2 linked regions of the Elephas maximus indicus genome follow. The protein of the gene in region 2 purifies or fractionates together with the protein of the main gene of each other region. This does not show direct contact. Links are inferred from orthologs where the notes say so. Each region holds a gene or a part of one and is shown on either strand. Other genes may lie near its edges.

Evidence for each region. The genes of interacting proteins can lie anywhere in the genome.
Region 1: the proteins of RPRD1B (region 2) and POLR2G purify together in Homo sapiens (affinity purification with mass spectrometry; 3 studies listed by BioGRID and IntAct, counting the BioPlex papers as one, with this or other methods). This does not show direct contact. The link is inferred for Elephas maximus indicus from reciprocal best matches to the Homo sapiens genes RPRD1B and POLR2G.

The regions. Positions count from the first base shown.
Region 1 is NC_064825.1:125,918,410-125,925,882, reverse strand, and holds the start of POLR2G (DNA-directed RNA polymerase II subunit RPB7), read right to left. Parts: upstream 3,014-7,473; 5' UTR 2,927-3,013; coding exon 2,915-2,926; intron 2,781-2,914; coding exon 2,671-2,780; intron 1,736-2,670; coding exon 1,576-1,735; intron 835-1,575; coding exon 784-834; intron 668-783; coding exon 602-667; intron 489-601; coding exon 417-488; intron 217-416; coding exon 183-216; intron 1-182. UniProt on the Homo sapiens protein: Core component of RNA polymerase II (Pol II), a DNA-dependent RNA polymerase which synthesizes mRNA precursors and many functional non-coding RNAs using the four ribonucleoside triphosphates as substrates.
Region 2 is NC_064843.1:31,483,663-31,490,816, reverse strand, and holds the start of RPRD1B (regulation of nuclear pre-mRNA domain-containing protein 1B), read left to right. Parts: upstream 1-4,146; 5' UTR 4,147-4,548; coding exon 4,549-4,699; intron 4,700-7,154. UniProt on the Homo sapiens protein: Interacts with phosphorylated C-terminal heptapeptide repeat domain (CTD) of the largest RNA polymerase II subunit POLR2A, and participates in dephosphorylation of the CTD by RPAP2. Transcriptional regulator which enhances expression of CCND1.

The DNA.
Region 1 (7,473 bases), on a different chromosome or scaffold from region 2:
AAACAGGAAAGGCACATCAGTGGGCCCCAAGCTTGGGGGGCCCCATCTGTGTACTTCCCATTCGAAGGGGCACACAGCATGAAAGCTGCTATGTCTGTGACTCAGGCATTAGCCCCATATCCTCCCCAGGCCCCACACCCCTTTTCAGGCAACAGCCCCGGCATGCAAGCTCAGGCACTTACCCAGGTAATCATCCATCAGGGAGCCAATAGCAAACTGCAAGAGGGGAGGTAAAATGGAAATGAAGCCAAGGAGAGCAAAAGCCCACCCCTACCTCCCAGCCCCAGGCCTTCTGCCCACCCATCATCCTCTCTTCCTGGCAGAAGAGCCCAGAAACCCCAGGCATTCTGGATGGTAAGAAATCAACAGCTCCCAGCTCTGCCCAGTACAGGCGGGGAGGCAGGCAAGAGACTCACTATGTCATTCTTGTCCACACGGGTCCCCACAATCTTCAGACGGATCTCATCATCCTGCTGAATCACAATGTCCTGGAGAGAGGGTAGAACAGTGTACTCCGGCCACCACCCCCAGGCCAATACCCTCCCTCAGGGTAGCTCCTTCTTGCCTCTCTTCTTTCACCGGCCTCTACCTACCCACTCACCTCATCCACTGTCTTGTAACACGGTGGGTTTGAGTTAGGATCAAACTCCATCTCTGATGGGATGGACTGAAAAGAAGGTCAGGCTGGGTCAGCAGTGTAAACAAAAGCTCCAATAGATAGTCATGAACAGATGTCTCTCCTCCTTAACCCCCCTCCACCCTCCACCAAGAGCCTAGACTTACATGTCGAGAGATGAAGCAGGACATGGGTCCAATTTCTGTGAAGAGTCCGACCTAAAAGCGAAATGAGCGGTCTTGCTTCTTATTTTGTTCCCCAAAGTCTCTTAAGGTTCCTGTCTTTATCTAATTCTTAATAATATTCATGTTTTTAAATCATTCTAAATTGTAGCATCTCTTTTCATTTCTTTTTTTTAATCTGTCACTTTAAATTAAACAAATATAGTGTAGTAATAAAGAACTTAGGCCTGGGTGGGCCTTGTCAGTCCTGGATTTGAACCAGAGCTTTGAACCAGTTAGGTCTGGTTCGAACCCCTGCTGGTAACATGCATTTCTAAACAAGCTCCCAGGAAGTTGTATGTAACAATCACCCGGGGATCTTGTTAAAATGTAGATTCTGATTCAGTATATCTGGGGTGGAAATGTACCAAACTGCCACTTGCTGGTCATGTGACTTTGGCCAGAACACTTAGCTTCCCTAAGACAGCTTCTATAAAAAGGGGGGGGTGGGTGGATAAAAACATCTCCCTTACAGGGTCAGGACAAGGCTTTGCACTTTACCAGCCCCCAGTAACTACTCAATCAACGTAAGCCACTATTGTAATAAAGTGTTAATATTGACTCACACGCCCCCAAATGAGGCAGTGTAAGATTGCCATTTCATTTGATGGATGAGAAAACTGAAGCAAAAAGAAGTGAAATGGCTTAGCCAAGGACACAGAGTGTGTAAGTGGAGTCAGCACCCAACTCAGATCTTCTGAGGGACCAGCCCACTGCCTCCCCAATGCGCGATCTCACCTTGTTGACCTGAGTGACCACGGCATCCACGACCTCCCCTTTAAAGGGGCGGAACACAATGGCCTTGTACTTAACAGGGTAAAGGACAAAGCCTCGGCCTGGCTGGATCACACCAGCACCAATATTGTCAATAGTGGTGACAGCAATTACAAAGCCGTACCTGCAAAGAGGATGAGAAAGGGACTGTGTGTGGAAGAGCATCCAAAGCCACCTGCAAACAGGTCATGGAGCCCAGGGAAGGGTGGGGCACAAAGTGGAAGTAGACACCACCCCTGTCCCCAGAGAGATTAAGGACTAGTAGGGAAGACTGGACAGAATCTGTAAGTCTCTTGGATTTCATGATAAATGCCCAAGCAAAATGTAGTCCTTTAGCCAACCGACCTCAAACTTTGGGATGCCTCAGCATCACCTGAGAGGGACTTGTTAAACTCCCAGGTCTGCCCCCAGAGAGTCTTGATTCTGTAGGGCCCAGATTGAGCCTTAGGAACCTGGATGTTCAAGAAGCACCCGAGATTATTCTCATGATGAAGGCCCAAGTACTCCACTGCCCTGGGCTCCATCCCAGCTCATTCACATCACCTTCTAAGAGGCCCCTCTGTGCAGAGCCCAAGGATGGACAAGTTCCAGCCCTCTCCTTCCTCCCCCAAACTCTCACTCTGCTTTTTCTGGATACTCATTCACTCAACAAACATCTACTGAGGCCAAACATGTGCCATGACAAGTCCCTAGGCATGGGAGGGAGGGAAAACCTGCAGAATTACAGAGAGGGAATAGATACAGGAAGGATGACTGGACTGTGAGCTCCATGAGAGCCAGCCTCAGTCTGTCTCAGTCACTGGGCCTGGCAACCAGCAGCAGCTGAAGAAATTGGGAAATAAATGACCCATCTCAGCTGAACTCTGCAAGTTCTGTTATCCACCTTTGCAGGGAGTGCCGTGAACCCAAACCAGGAGGCAACTGACTGCCTGGGACGCCTGGGAGGGTGAGAGGGCTTTCCAGAGTGGGAGGCAGGACGTTGCTGGAGATGAGCAGGGGTTACAAACACAGGGCACAGTGCGGGAGGCAATCAGGCGGCGCGAAGGTTGGGACACTCACTTCCCCGTGCAGGTCCCCTCTACCTCGGTGAACAGCTTCTGCTTCACCGTGTTGAGCAGGTTGGGGCCGAAGTAGCGCGGGTGCAGCAAGATCTCGTGCTCCAGGGAGATCTGGGGGGAAAGTGGGATGGTGACACAGAAAGCTGCGGTGGGGATACGGGGTGAGAAGCCGGCCCGGGCCCCCCGCGCCCAGCCTTGGCCCTCCTCCCGACCCAATCCACGCCCCCACCCCGCGCCCTGCTCACGTGGTAGAACATCTTATAGCTCCGTCTCCAACGGCAGTGGTACCGGCCACCCCGAGTCACCGGAAACGCACACACTGCCCCCCCAGCCTCGCTTCCGGGCTGCGGGGCGAGGTGGGCGGGACTTGGTCACTCCGTGGATCCGATTGGGCTTCGCAGTCGGCGGGGGGGGAGAGGATCCCTGAAGCTCCGCCCCCGCCCCGCCCACCAACCGAAAAGGGGCCATAAGCCGAAAAGCCCGTTGCTGTGGAGTCGGTTCTGACTCGTAACGACGAACTGCCGGACCTCCATAAATTAACAGTGCCTGGCCTTGGCTTGGCATATAATGAGGAGCCTTGGTGGCACAGTAGTTAAGAGGTCCACTGCTAACCAAAAGGTCGACAGTTCGGATTCACCTGTCTCTCCTTAACACCCTAGGGAGCAGTGCTACTCTGTCCTGTTGGGTCGCTATGAGTCGGAATTGACTCCACCCACAACAACAGGTTTGGGGTTTTTTACTGCCTATAATGGGGAGCCCTGGGGGAGCCCAGGTGGCGCAGTGGTTAAGAGCTCCGCTGCTAACCAAAAGGTAAGCAATTCAAATCCACCAGCCGATCCTTGGAAACTCTAAAGGGCAGTTCTACTTTGTCCTATAGGGTCACTATGAGTCGGAATCCAACCGAAGGCAGCGGGTTTGGCCTGTAATAGATGCTCAATAAGTTTTTTTTTTTATTATTATTAAATGCGTTAATTAGTGAAAGTCTATGCAAGTAAAGCGTCTTAGCAGAGTTCATTCAGCAAATATTTGAACATTGCTTTCACATTTAGTAGCTCTTATTTAATCTATACAGCAATCCCATATAGTAAAATGCAGCCATCATTAAAAATTAGATTATTTAAATTACTAATAATCCCCCAGGCGCTCCTTGGAAACCCTATGGGGCAGTTCTACTCTGTCCTGTAGGGTCGCTATGAGTTGGAATTGACTCGACGGCACTGGGTCTGGTCTGGTCTGGTCTGGTGGCGCAGGGGTTAAAGCGCTTGACTGCGAAGCGAAAGGTCTGCGGCTAGAACTCAACAGCAGCTCCTGGGAAGAATGATGGGGCAGTCAGCTACCTTAAAGATTACAGCCTTGGAAACCCTATAGGGCAGTTTTACTCTGTTCTACAGGGTCGCTATGAGTCGGAATCTACTCAATGGCAACACATAATAAATAAGTTATATTAAAAAGGAAATGTAGAGGTATAAATGGATCAAGTTTGGCAATATATTGATAATTATGGAAACTAGGTGATGGGCTGTCGTTGTTGTTAGGTGCCATGGAGTAGGTTCCAACTCATAGTGACCCCATGTACAACAGAGCAAAACACTGCCAAGTCCTGCACCATTCTCAAAATCATTGCTGTTTCAGCCCATTATTCCAGCCACTTTGTCAATCCATCTCACTGAGGGTATTCCTCTCTTTCACTGACCCTCCATTTTGTTATGTGCTTCTTCAGGGACTGGTACCTCCTGATAACATGTCCAAAGTATGTGAGATGAAGCCTCGCCATCCTTGTTTCAAATGAGCATTCTGGCTGTACGTCTTCCAAGACAGATTTGTTCATTCCTCTGGCAGTCCATGGTATAGTCAATATTTTTCACCAACACCATAATTCAAAGGCATCAATTCTTCTTCCGTCTTCCTTATTCATTGTCCAGTTTTCACATGCATATGAGGAGATTGAAAATACCATGGCATGGGCCAGGTGCACCTTAGTCCTTGAAATGACATCTTTGCTTTTTAACACTTTTTTGAAAAAGGTCTTTTGGAGCAGATTTGCCCAGTGCAATACATCATTTGATTTCTTGACTGCTGTTTCCATGGGCATTGATTGTGGATCCAAGTAAAATGAAATCCTTGACAACTTCAATCTTTTCTCCATTTATCATGATTTTGTTTATTGGTTCAGTTGTGAGGACTTTTGTTTTCTTTATGTTGAGATGTAATCCATACTGAAAGCTGTAGTCTTTGGTCTTCATCAGTACGTGCTTCACATTCTGTTGGCTTTCACCAGGCAAGGTTGTGTCATGTGCATATTGCAGGTTGTTAGTGAGTGTTTCTCCAACCCTGATGCCACATTCTTTTTCATATACTCCAGTTTCTTGGCTTATTTGCTTATCATACAGCTTGATTTTAAACCATGCAGTGTCCCTTTGTTCTACTCGAATGACTACCTCTTGGTCTATGTACAGGTTCCATATGAGCACAATAAAGCATTCTGGAATTCCCATTCTTCGCAGTGTTATCCATAATTTATGATCCATACAGTCAAATGCTTTTACATGGTCAATAAAACACAAGTAAACTTTCTGGTATTCTCTGCTTTCAGCCAAGATCCATCTGACATCAGCAATGATATCCCTCGTTACACATCCTCTGCCCTTCTTCCTGGTTCTGGGCTCCTCCTTCTGTTTTGCCAGATCTTCCAACAGCTAAAATAATCCTGCACCCAACTAAATCCTAGTCCTATTCCAACAACCATGAGGGCCACCTTGGGGAGACTCCAGGAAGACAAATCTATAGAGTGGTTAGGGGTGTTGCTTTGAATATAGATAAACCCACATCTCAGTCTCAGCTCTGCCTCTTATTAGCTGTGTGACCCTGGGCAAGTTACTTAACTGGGTGGAGCCTCAGTCTCTTCTGTCTGATGGAGATAAGAAAGAAGGACAATTATGGAATTAGAGAAGATTAAATCTTTAGCATATTGCCTAGCACTTAACCCGTTGCTGTCCAGTTGATTCTGACTCATAGCAACCCTATAGGACAGAGTAGAACTGCCCCATAGGGTTTCCGAAGCTGTAACCTTTGGGGGTAGACTACCACATCTTTCTCCCTAGGAGCTGCTGGTGGATTCGAAAGCTGACCTTTCAGTTAGCAGCCGAGCACTTAACCATTGTGCCACCAGAGCTCCTACTTAGCACTAAAGTACTAAGTAGTAGATACTTTTCTAACTTCTACTAATACACAGACTCTTAGAAGCAAAACTTTTTCAACTTTGTCCTGGGAGGAGTTTTGGAATTATAAGGAGGCTGCTGTAAGTATGAAGTTTAAATTTCAAATTTTCTCGTGACATAATCTATCGATGCTAGTTTTAAACATCCCCCCCACCCCACAAAAGCTTTTATTCAAAAAATATTTGACTGAATCATACTCTAGAGAAATGTGTCATGGTACCCTGTGGCTCTGTTTCCCTCAGGGTGGAGGTGCGTGTACCCCAGTTTTGAGAAGAAAAACCACCAAATTGTACACTGTTTAACAGGTCCTCTGGGGGTGTTACTGTTGTTAGTTGCCAGAGAGTAAATTCTGACACAGGGCAACCCCATGTATACAGAGTAGAACTGTACTCCATAGGGTTTTTTAAGACTGTGACCTTTCAGAAGCAGATTACCAGGCCTGTCTTCCAAAGTGCCTCTGGGGGGGTTCAAATCACCAACCTTTCAGATAGTAGTTGAGCACTGTGATGGTTAAGGTTGTGTGTCAACTTGGCTGGGCCATGATTCTCAGTGGTTCGCAGTTATGATGTTGTTGGGTAACTATGTAATGATGTAATCACCTCCATAATGAGAGCTGATGTAACATAATTACCTCCTTGATGAGATCTGCTATGAGCAATCAGTTGAGACGGAGTTTCCTTGGGGGTGTGGCCTGCATCCAATATATGTAGACTTTCTGGCAAAGCTCGCTGGCTTTTGCTCATGCTGGATCACGCAGCTGACTCCTGTTCATCTAACATCTGGTTCTTGGGACTTGAGCTAGCAGTTTACCTGCCAGTCTTGGAATTTATCAGCCTTCGCAGCCTGTGAGCCAGCAGCCTGCTGTCTGACCTGCCGATCTTGAGTTTGCCAGCCCCTGCAGTCACATGAGTCAGGAGAAGCTTCCAGCCTAACCCATGGACTTAGGACTTTCTAACCTCTACAGCCACATAAGCCATTTCCTTGATATAAATCTCTCTCTCCATATATATTGATACCCAAACCAAAACCAAACCCAGTGCTGTCAAGTCGATTCCAACTCATAGCGACCCTATAGGACAGAATAGAACTGCCCCCATAGAGTTTCCAAGGAGCGCCTGGCAGATTTGAACTGCCAACCTGTTGATTAGCAGCCATAGCACTTAACCACTACACCACCAGGGTTTCCTATATAGATACAGATATAGATATATAGATACGCTTCACTGGTTTTGCTTCTCTAGAAAACCTAAGCCTAAGACAAGCACTTAGCCATTTGCATCACCCAGGGACTCCTTCTTGGGGGTGAGAGGCACACAAATCTAGTGTACACTTGGCTTAGGCCAATAGACTGTATGGATCAGAAGAAATGTCTTTTTCTAATTTGTACAGAGGTAGCAGTATGTGCCAGAGCAGGACCTGGTTAAGAGAACTGTAATCTTTATAAAATATCTAGGTCCAGCATAATAGCCACCCCAGAGTACCAAGCATACAGTCCTTGTGCCCAACCTCAGCCTCCTCTTCATTCTGATCACTTCTGAACCTGTAGAAACATGATTGCTTATGCTTCCCAAACAGCCTGTGCTCCT
Region 2 (7,154 bases):
GAGGGCACGGTGGAAGGGATCAGTGAACTGGAAGACAGAACAATAGAGATTGCCCAATCTGAACATGACAGAAAACATAAACTGAAAAGCCAAACAAACGCAGAGTCTCGAAGACCCGTGAGGCTCAAATGAAAGATCTAAGAGTTCTCAGAGCAGAAAAGAAGGCTGGCTGAGAAAAGTACTTGAAGAAAAAATGGCTGAAAGCTTCCCAAATTTGGAAAGAGATGTAAACCTATAGATTCATGAAGATTTGTGAGCCCCAAACAGGATAAACTCCCAGAAATCACTATCAATACACTTCATAATTAAATTTCTGAAAACTAAAGACAAAGTCCTGAAAGCAGCCAGAAAAAAATGACATCTAATAGGGGCAAAACAATTTGAATGACAGTACTTTTATCATTAGAAATCATTTAGGCCAGAGGGAAGTGGCACAATATTTTTCAGGTACTTAAACAAAAAAAAAAAAAACTGTCAATCCAGAATTCTATACCCAGCAAAAATGTTCATCAGAAATGAAGAGGAAATCAAGACATTTCCAGATGTCTAAAAGATAAGGGAATACTATAAATAACTTTATACACATAACCGACCACTAAGAGACAGAGCAAATGGGCAAACTCCTTGAAAAATACAAATTACTATAACTCACACAATATGAGATGGAATACCTGAATAACCATATTAACTATTATCAGTACCAGTTGCTGTCAGTTCGGACTCATGGCAACTCACGTGTGTCAGAGTAGAACTGTGCTGTATAGGGTTTTCAATCGTTGATTTTTCAAAAGTAGAGCAACAGGCCTTTCTTCTGATGCACCTCTAAACCAAAACCAATCCCACTGCTTTGAGTCAATTCAAACTCATAATGACCCTAAAGGGCAGAGTAGAATTGCCCCATACGGTTTCCAAGGAGCGCCTGGTGGATTTGAACTGACAAACCTTTGGTTAGCAGCTGTAGCACTTAACCACTATGCCACCAGGGTTTCCGATTCAGACATAGGTGCTCAAAATTTATTTGCTGAATGAATGAATGAACCAGTGGCTCAGGAATGAAGAATCTGGGATCACACATCAGATAATCTTAATCTGACTCTTGGCTCTGCCATTTCCTAGCTGTGTACTCTCGGATGGGTTACTTAACCACGCTTTATGTTTTCTCATTTATCAAATAATAACCCCATCCTATAGGCTATAAGGATTAAATATACGTAATGTACTTAATACACAGTGACTTGGTGTAAAAGCTCTCAATACGTGATTGTTACAGTATAGAATCGTGTATAGATTTGGATTCAAAAATCCTAGCTTACAATTATGACTAGTTACTGTCTGATTTTAGGCTACCCACTTCTATATTAATTCATTCAATCAGCTATGACTCAAGTGCTGGGGACAAAGGGATCGATAAAATGCAGTCCCTACCCTCAAATCTTAGTTATGTGATTTTGGGCAGGTCACTTAAAATGGGGATAATACAATACCTACCTCAGAGCTTTACTGTGAGAATTAAATGAGTTACTATGTGTAAACACAGTGTCTGGCACACAGCAAGCGCTCACTAAGTGTTAGGTACGATTATGATGATTCTAATCCGGAGAAAAAGTCCTGGTGGAGCAGTGGTTACGAGCTCAGCTGCTATAACCCAAGGGTTGGTGGTTCGAATGTACCAGCTGCTCCGTGGGAGAAAGATGCGGCAATCTGCTTCCATAAAGATTACAGGCTTGTAACATTTAGGATATTCTACTGGTCTCACCCCTTCCGGAGCAAGGAAGAATGAAGAAAACTAAAGGAACAAGGGAAAGATTAGTCCAGAGGACTAAGGGACTACAACTACCACAGCCTCCACTAGACTGAGGCCAGTACAACTAGATGGTGCCCAGCTACCGTCACTAACTGCTCCGACAGGGATCACAAGAGAGGGTCCCGAACAGAGCTGGAGAAAAATATAGAATAAAATTTTAACTCAAAAAGAAAGACCAAACTTACTGGCCTGACAGAGACTGGAGAAACCCTGAGTGTATGGCCCCCAGACATGCTTTCAACTCAGCTCAGTAATGAAGACATTCTTGACATTCACCCTTCTGCCAAAGATTGGACAGGCCCATAAAAACAAAACAAGACTAAAGGGGCACACCAGCCCAGGGGCAAGGACTAAAAGGCAGGAGGGGACAGGAAACCTGGTAACAAGGAACCTAAGGTTGAGAAGGGAGAGTGTTAACATGTCGTGGGGTTGTTAACCAATGTCATAAAACAGTATGTGTACTGTCTAATGAGAAACTTATTTGTTTTGTAAGCCTTCATCTAAAGGACAAAAAAAAAATTACAGGCTGGAAACCCTAAGTGGCAGTTCTACTCTGTCCTATAGGTCACTGAGTCAGAATCAACTCGACAGCAACATGTTTAGTATGGAAAAGGGATAAAGGCATTTAAGCAAAGAACTACAATACAGTGACAGTAAGAGCAAAAAACAGAGGCACCAACTAGAAGAAAGTCTCCTAAACTGCGGTCTGCCCACAACTGTGAAGTTCCACGGTGATCAAGAAAACCTTAACCTGAGAGTATGGCACCTGGACACCCTTTTAGGTCAGTAACGAAGTCACTCCTGAGGTTCACCCTTCAGTCAAAGATTAGACAGGCCCATAAAACAAAACGAGACCAAAGGGGCACACCAGCCCAGAGGTAACGATTAGAAGGCAGGAGGTAACAATAGGGAACCCAAGGTTGAAAAGAGAGGGTGTGGTGGGGTTGTAAGTGAATGTCACAAAACAACATGTGTACTGTTTAATAAGAAGCTAGTTTGTTCTTAAATCTTCATCTAAAACACAATTAAAAAAAAAGGAAAACCTTAAAATTCTGCTATGTCTATGATAACTGTTATAGATTGAATTTTGTCCCCCCAAAATGTGTGTCAACTTAGCGAAGCTATGAGTCCCTGTATTATGTGGTTGTCTTCCATTTTGTGATCTGATGTAATTATCCTATGTGTTGTAAATCCTAACCTCTATAGGATTGGAGGAAGTTATGTCAACCAGGCAGGACACAATCTACATGATTAGGTTATATCTGGAGTCAATCTTTTGAGATATAAAAGAGAGAATTGAGCAGAGAGGGACCTCATTACCATCAAGAAAGATGAGCTAGGAGCAAAGCACGTCCTTTGGACTGGGGTTCCTTGTGCTAAGACGCTCCTACACCAAAGGAAGATTGATGACAAGGACCTTACCCCAGAGCTGACAGACAGAAAGCCTTCCAACCTGGAGTTGGTGCCCTGAATTCAGACTTCTAGCCTCCTGAATTGTGAGAGAATAAATTTGCTTGTTAAAGTCATCTACTTGCGGTATTTCTGTTATGGCAGCACTAGATAACTAAGGCAGTAACCTCTCTACTCCCCCAGAGTAATTACAAAGACAAACTACTTTGCTGCTTTCACTGGAATTTAAAGCTTTAAAAAAATTGAGTAAGAATTCTTGAAGAGTGTTTCTTAAAGGAGGCTGACAGACACAGCGGGAAGGTAAGATAATTTCCCTTCCCCACCAAAGGTTAACATATTAAAGCTGAAAAACGTCAATTGGATGGTGAACCCCAGTGGGCAAAGGTTTCCTGTAACTGCCTAAACGAAGCAACCAATTAGAAGTCGAGAGCACAAGGTGTGTTTCATGGCAGTGCTGTCACAAAGGGACAGAATCGGACATTAAAGAGTGGGTCCTGGCGGCTGAGTAGGTGAGAAAGACGGCGTCACCTTTGGAGAGAGAAAAACAAAAGCCGAGGCGCGGAAGGGTGAAAGCGCACGTGCGTGGCTTGGAGGAATCAAAGCTTTTTAAGCGGCGGTCACAGTGCTGGACATGTACAGAGAGAAAGTGCGGCCTGGGGCTTGGCGGGTGAAAGAAGAAACCCTCCCTCCATACCTAGGCCATGATCCCTCAGCCTTGGTGTCCCCACAAGGCCCCTCTCCGGAACCCACTCGGCTGGGCTCCCAGCGGCTCTCGCCCCTCTTCCCTTACCTCGTCTTCTAGTCTTTCCCTTACTCTCCCTCCTCCTCCGCCCCGACGGAAGTGACGTTATAACGAATGCGCCGCACAGCGCTAGAAAGGTTCCGCGGGCGCGGGAGACAGGGTTCCGGCGGTACTCAGTGCGCCGGCGTACGGGCGCGAGCGGTTACAGCGCCTTCCGGGAGCCGAGAAACAGATTCCTCTCGCCGGGTTTATCGCCTTCGAAGTGCCCTGAGCAACGTTCGGAGAGGCTGCCGGTCCTGGAAAGACTTTTCTCTACAGCTCCGGACGCCTCTGGGTGCCCAACTACTCCGGCTCTTGCCCCTTGACCCTGCTCTCGCGGCGGGGTGAGAGGTCGGGTGGCCATCTTGTGGCGGCTGCGCGGGCGGCTGTTACTGCGGTGACCCATCCCCTCCTCCCACCTACCACCCGAGTCATCTGTCAGTCAGTAAAGAGTCCGGCAGTCTGTCAGGTGAGGCCTCGGCCTCGTGCCGTCGCTCTTCCTGCCGCACTGGGCGGCCCAGGCCGCTCCCTGCCGGCCCTCACCGTCGCCGCCATGTCCTCCTTCTCCGAGTCAGCTCTAGAGAAGAAGCTCTCGGAGCTGAGCAACTCTCAGCAGAGCGTGCAGACCCTGTCCCTGTGGCTCATTCACCACCGCAAGCACGCGGGGCCCATCGTCTCGGTGTGGCACCGCGAGCTCCGCAAAGGTAAACACCCCTTCCCCGCCCCCTTGGCTCAATCCCGGATTGTTCTCTCCCCCACCTTCTCCCTAGGCTCCTCTACTGCTTAATTGAGTCTTGCCTTCCAGACACGGGCTTCTGAGGCTGGAGATAGTGTTATCCCCATTTCTCGGAGAGGGAAACTGAGGCCCAGGAAAGTGTAAGGCATTTGTCCGAGGTCCCACTGACCAGGGCCCAGCTACCCAGACTCCCAGTTCATTAAGCCTTTCCCCCCGCAGAATTTTCTTCACACTTTTAAATGTTACTTTCTCGGCTGCCTTCAGCGCCCGATGGAGGGTACTGGCGCCAGCCTGTTAAATATGCCAGGTTCTGTGCTGGGCATTCAGAGTAACAGTCGGCAGGCTCAGGAGTCAAGCTGCCTAGATGGAGCCTGGCCCAACCACTTGCTAGCTGAGTGATGTTGGGCTCTCTTTGCCTTCATTTCCTCATCCATAAAACGGAGGCAAGCTTAGCTGTGACTTACAGAGCCTTTATTCTGTGCCAGCCACTATGCTAAGATCTTTATATATGTCCTTGTGCTCAGTCCTCAGAACAGCATTTTAGAGAGTTTAAGGGGCCACATCACTAGCCCTTACCTCTCAGGACCCTCCTTTCATGCAGCTGCCATAGTTTCCAGACCCTGCTCAAGATCACTGAGCTCAGCCTAGTACTGGGTTGGGCACTTGACGGTATGTTAGCCCCACAGCCTAAGAGCTTGGAATCTAAGCCTGGCTTTGCCACTTACTAATACGAATAACTTAACCCTCCTTGTCTCTCTGTTTCCTTAATTCTCAGAGTCCTATGAAGTAGGAGGAGCCCTGGTGGCACAGTGGTTAAGGATTAGGCTGTTAACCAAAAGGTTGGCAGTTCAAATCTACCAGCCACTCCTTGGAAACCTATGGGGCAGTTCTTCTCTGTCCTGTATGGTCCCAATGAGTTGAAATCAACTTGACGGCGATGGGTTATGAAGTAGGAAGTGGCTTGGTGGCGCAGTGGTTAAGAGCTATGGTTGCTAACCAAAAAGGCAGGCAGTTTGAATCTACCATCCTCTCCTTGGAAACCCTTTGGAGTGGTTCTACTCAGTCCTGTAGGGTTGCTATGAGTTGGAATCGACTCCGTGGCAATGTTTGTTTTTTTTTTTTTTAAATAAAGTAGGATCTTTGCAGATGAGGAAAAACTGATGCTGAAACAACAACTTGTGGTGAGCGGTAAACAAAATAATCCAGATGAGCATTTAGTGTGGTGTCAGACACAGTGAAGGCATTTGGTTAATTGTGGTGAGATGGGACTGTTGATTATTCAGTGTGAGGCAGAGTCCTCGTCTTAAGTTGCTTACAGTTGGTGGGGAAAGGTGGACACCTACACCTCTGATACCCCAGTGAGTGCCATAACAGAAGGATGAGGAGATGGTACGGGCGCTTAAGAGTTATACTGGACAGCCTAGACAGCAGAGAAAGTGACTTTACCTGTGTTCTCTACTACCTGTGAGGTGGAGGGTATCTCCCCACTTTACAGATGAGGAAACTGAAGCTCAGAGTGGCTAAGTGGTATTTCCGAGGCCTTAGAGCTGGTGAGACTATGTCAGGTTGGCAAGCTCCAAAACCCAAATTTTGGAGCCTCCCCGGCCCCAGCAGACTCAGTTCTAGCCTACTAGCAGAGACTCCAGAATATCATGGCCTGTACGGGATCCCCTCAGCCCTCTGGGCACTGGGGTAGAGCCTGGGGCTGCCAGAGCCTCCTTCATGTAACTTGTGCTGAGATGTGGCAAACGTGTATTGCCTCAGCAGGATCGTGTTAGGTAGCATTTCAGTCCATCTCAAATAGCCACATGTGGCTTGTGGCTACCATATTGGACAGTGCAGAACTAGAGGAAGCTCCATCCAGGCATCAAGATGCAACTTCCTAATACGCAGGCTTGCTTTGTGAATTGAAAATGCCCTCACACTAAAGTGGAAAAGGATTTTCTGTTCTAATGTTCAAACTGACTGGCCTTTTAGATTCTAGGCCACCCTGATTCTTTAAGAAGTGGACATTTCTGTTTATGGTCATTTTCTTTATGTAAGTTTTTCACTGACTGACTCTGAGTTGCTTTCAAAATATTTACCAGACTTCCAGAAATCACTGTTTCTCACTTAAACGCGCCTTCTATTCCTGATGTGTTACTTTCTTTCCAGTTTCCTAGGAAGAATTCTTAATTTATTCCTTTGGGCTCAGTTCTAAGTCGAATGTCTCTTGTTCTTCATGAAGTAGTTTGGTGCAGAATGGTCTTAGATGAACATATTTTAATGGTGTTTTTGTATCCTAGCCTGAATGCAGATACATAGGCTTTTTTCCAAAATTACCGTAAAACTTTCTTTAGATGTCAAAACAACCACCCAAGTGAAAATTTTTGGTCAGCCAGTTGTTTATACTTTGCTCAACAACTAGTTCAACCAATTTGGAA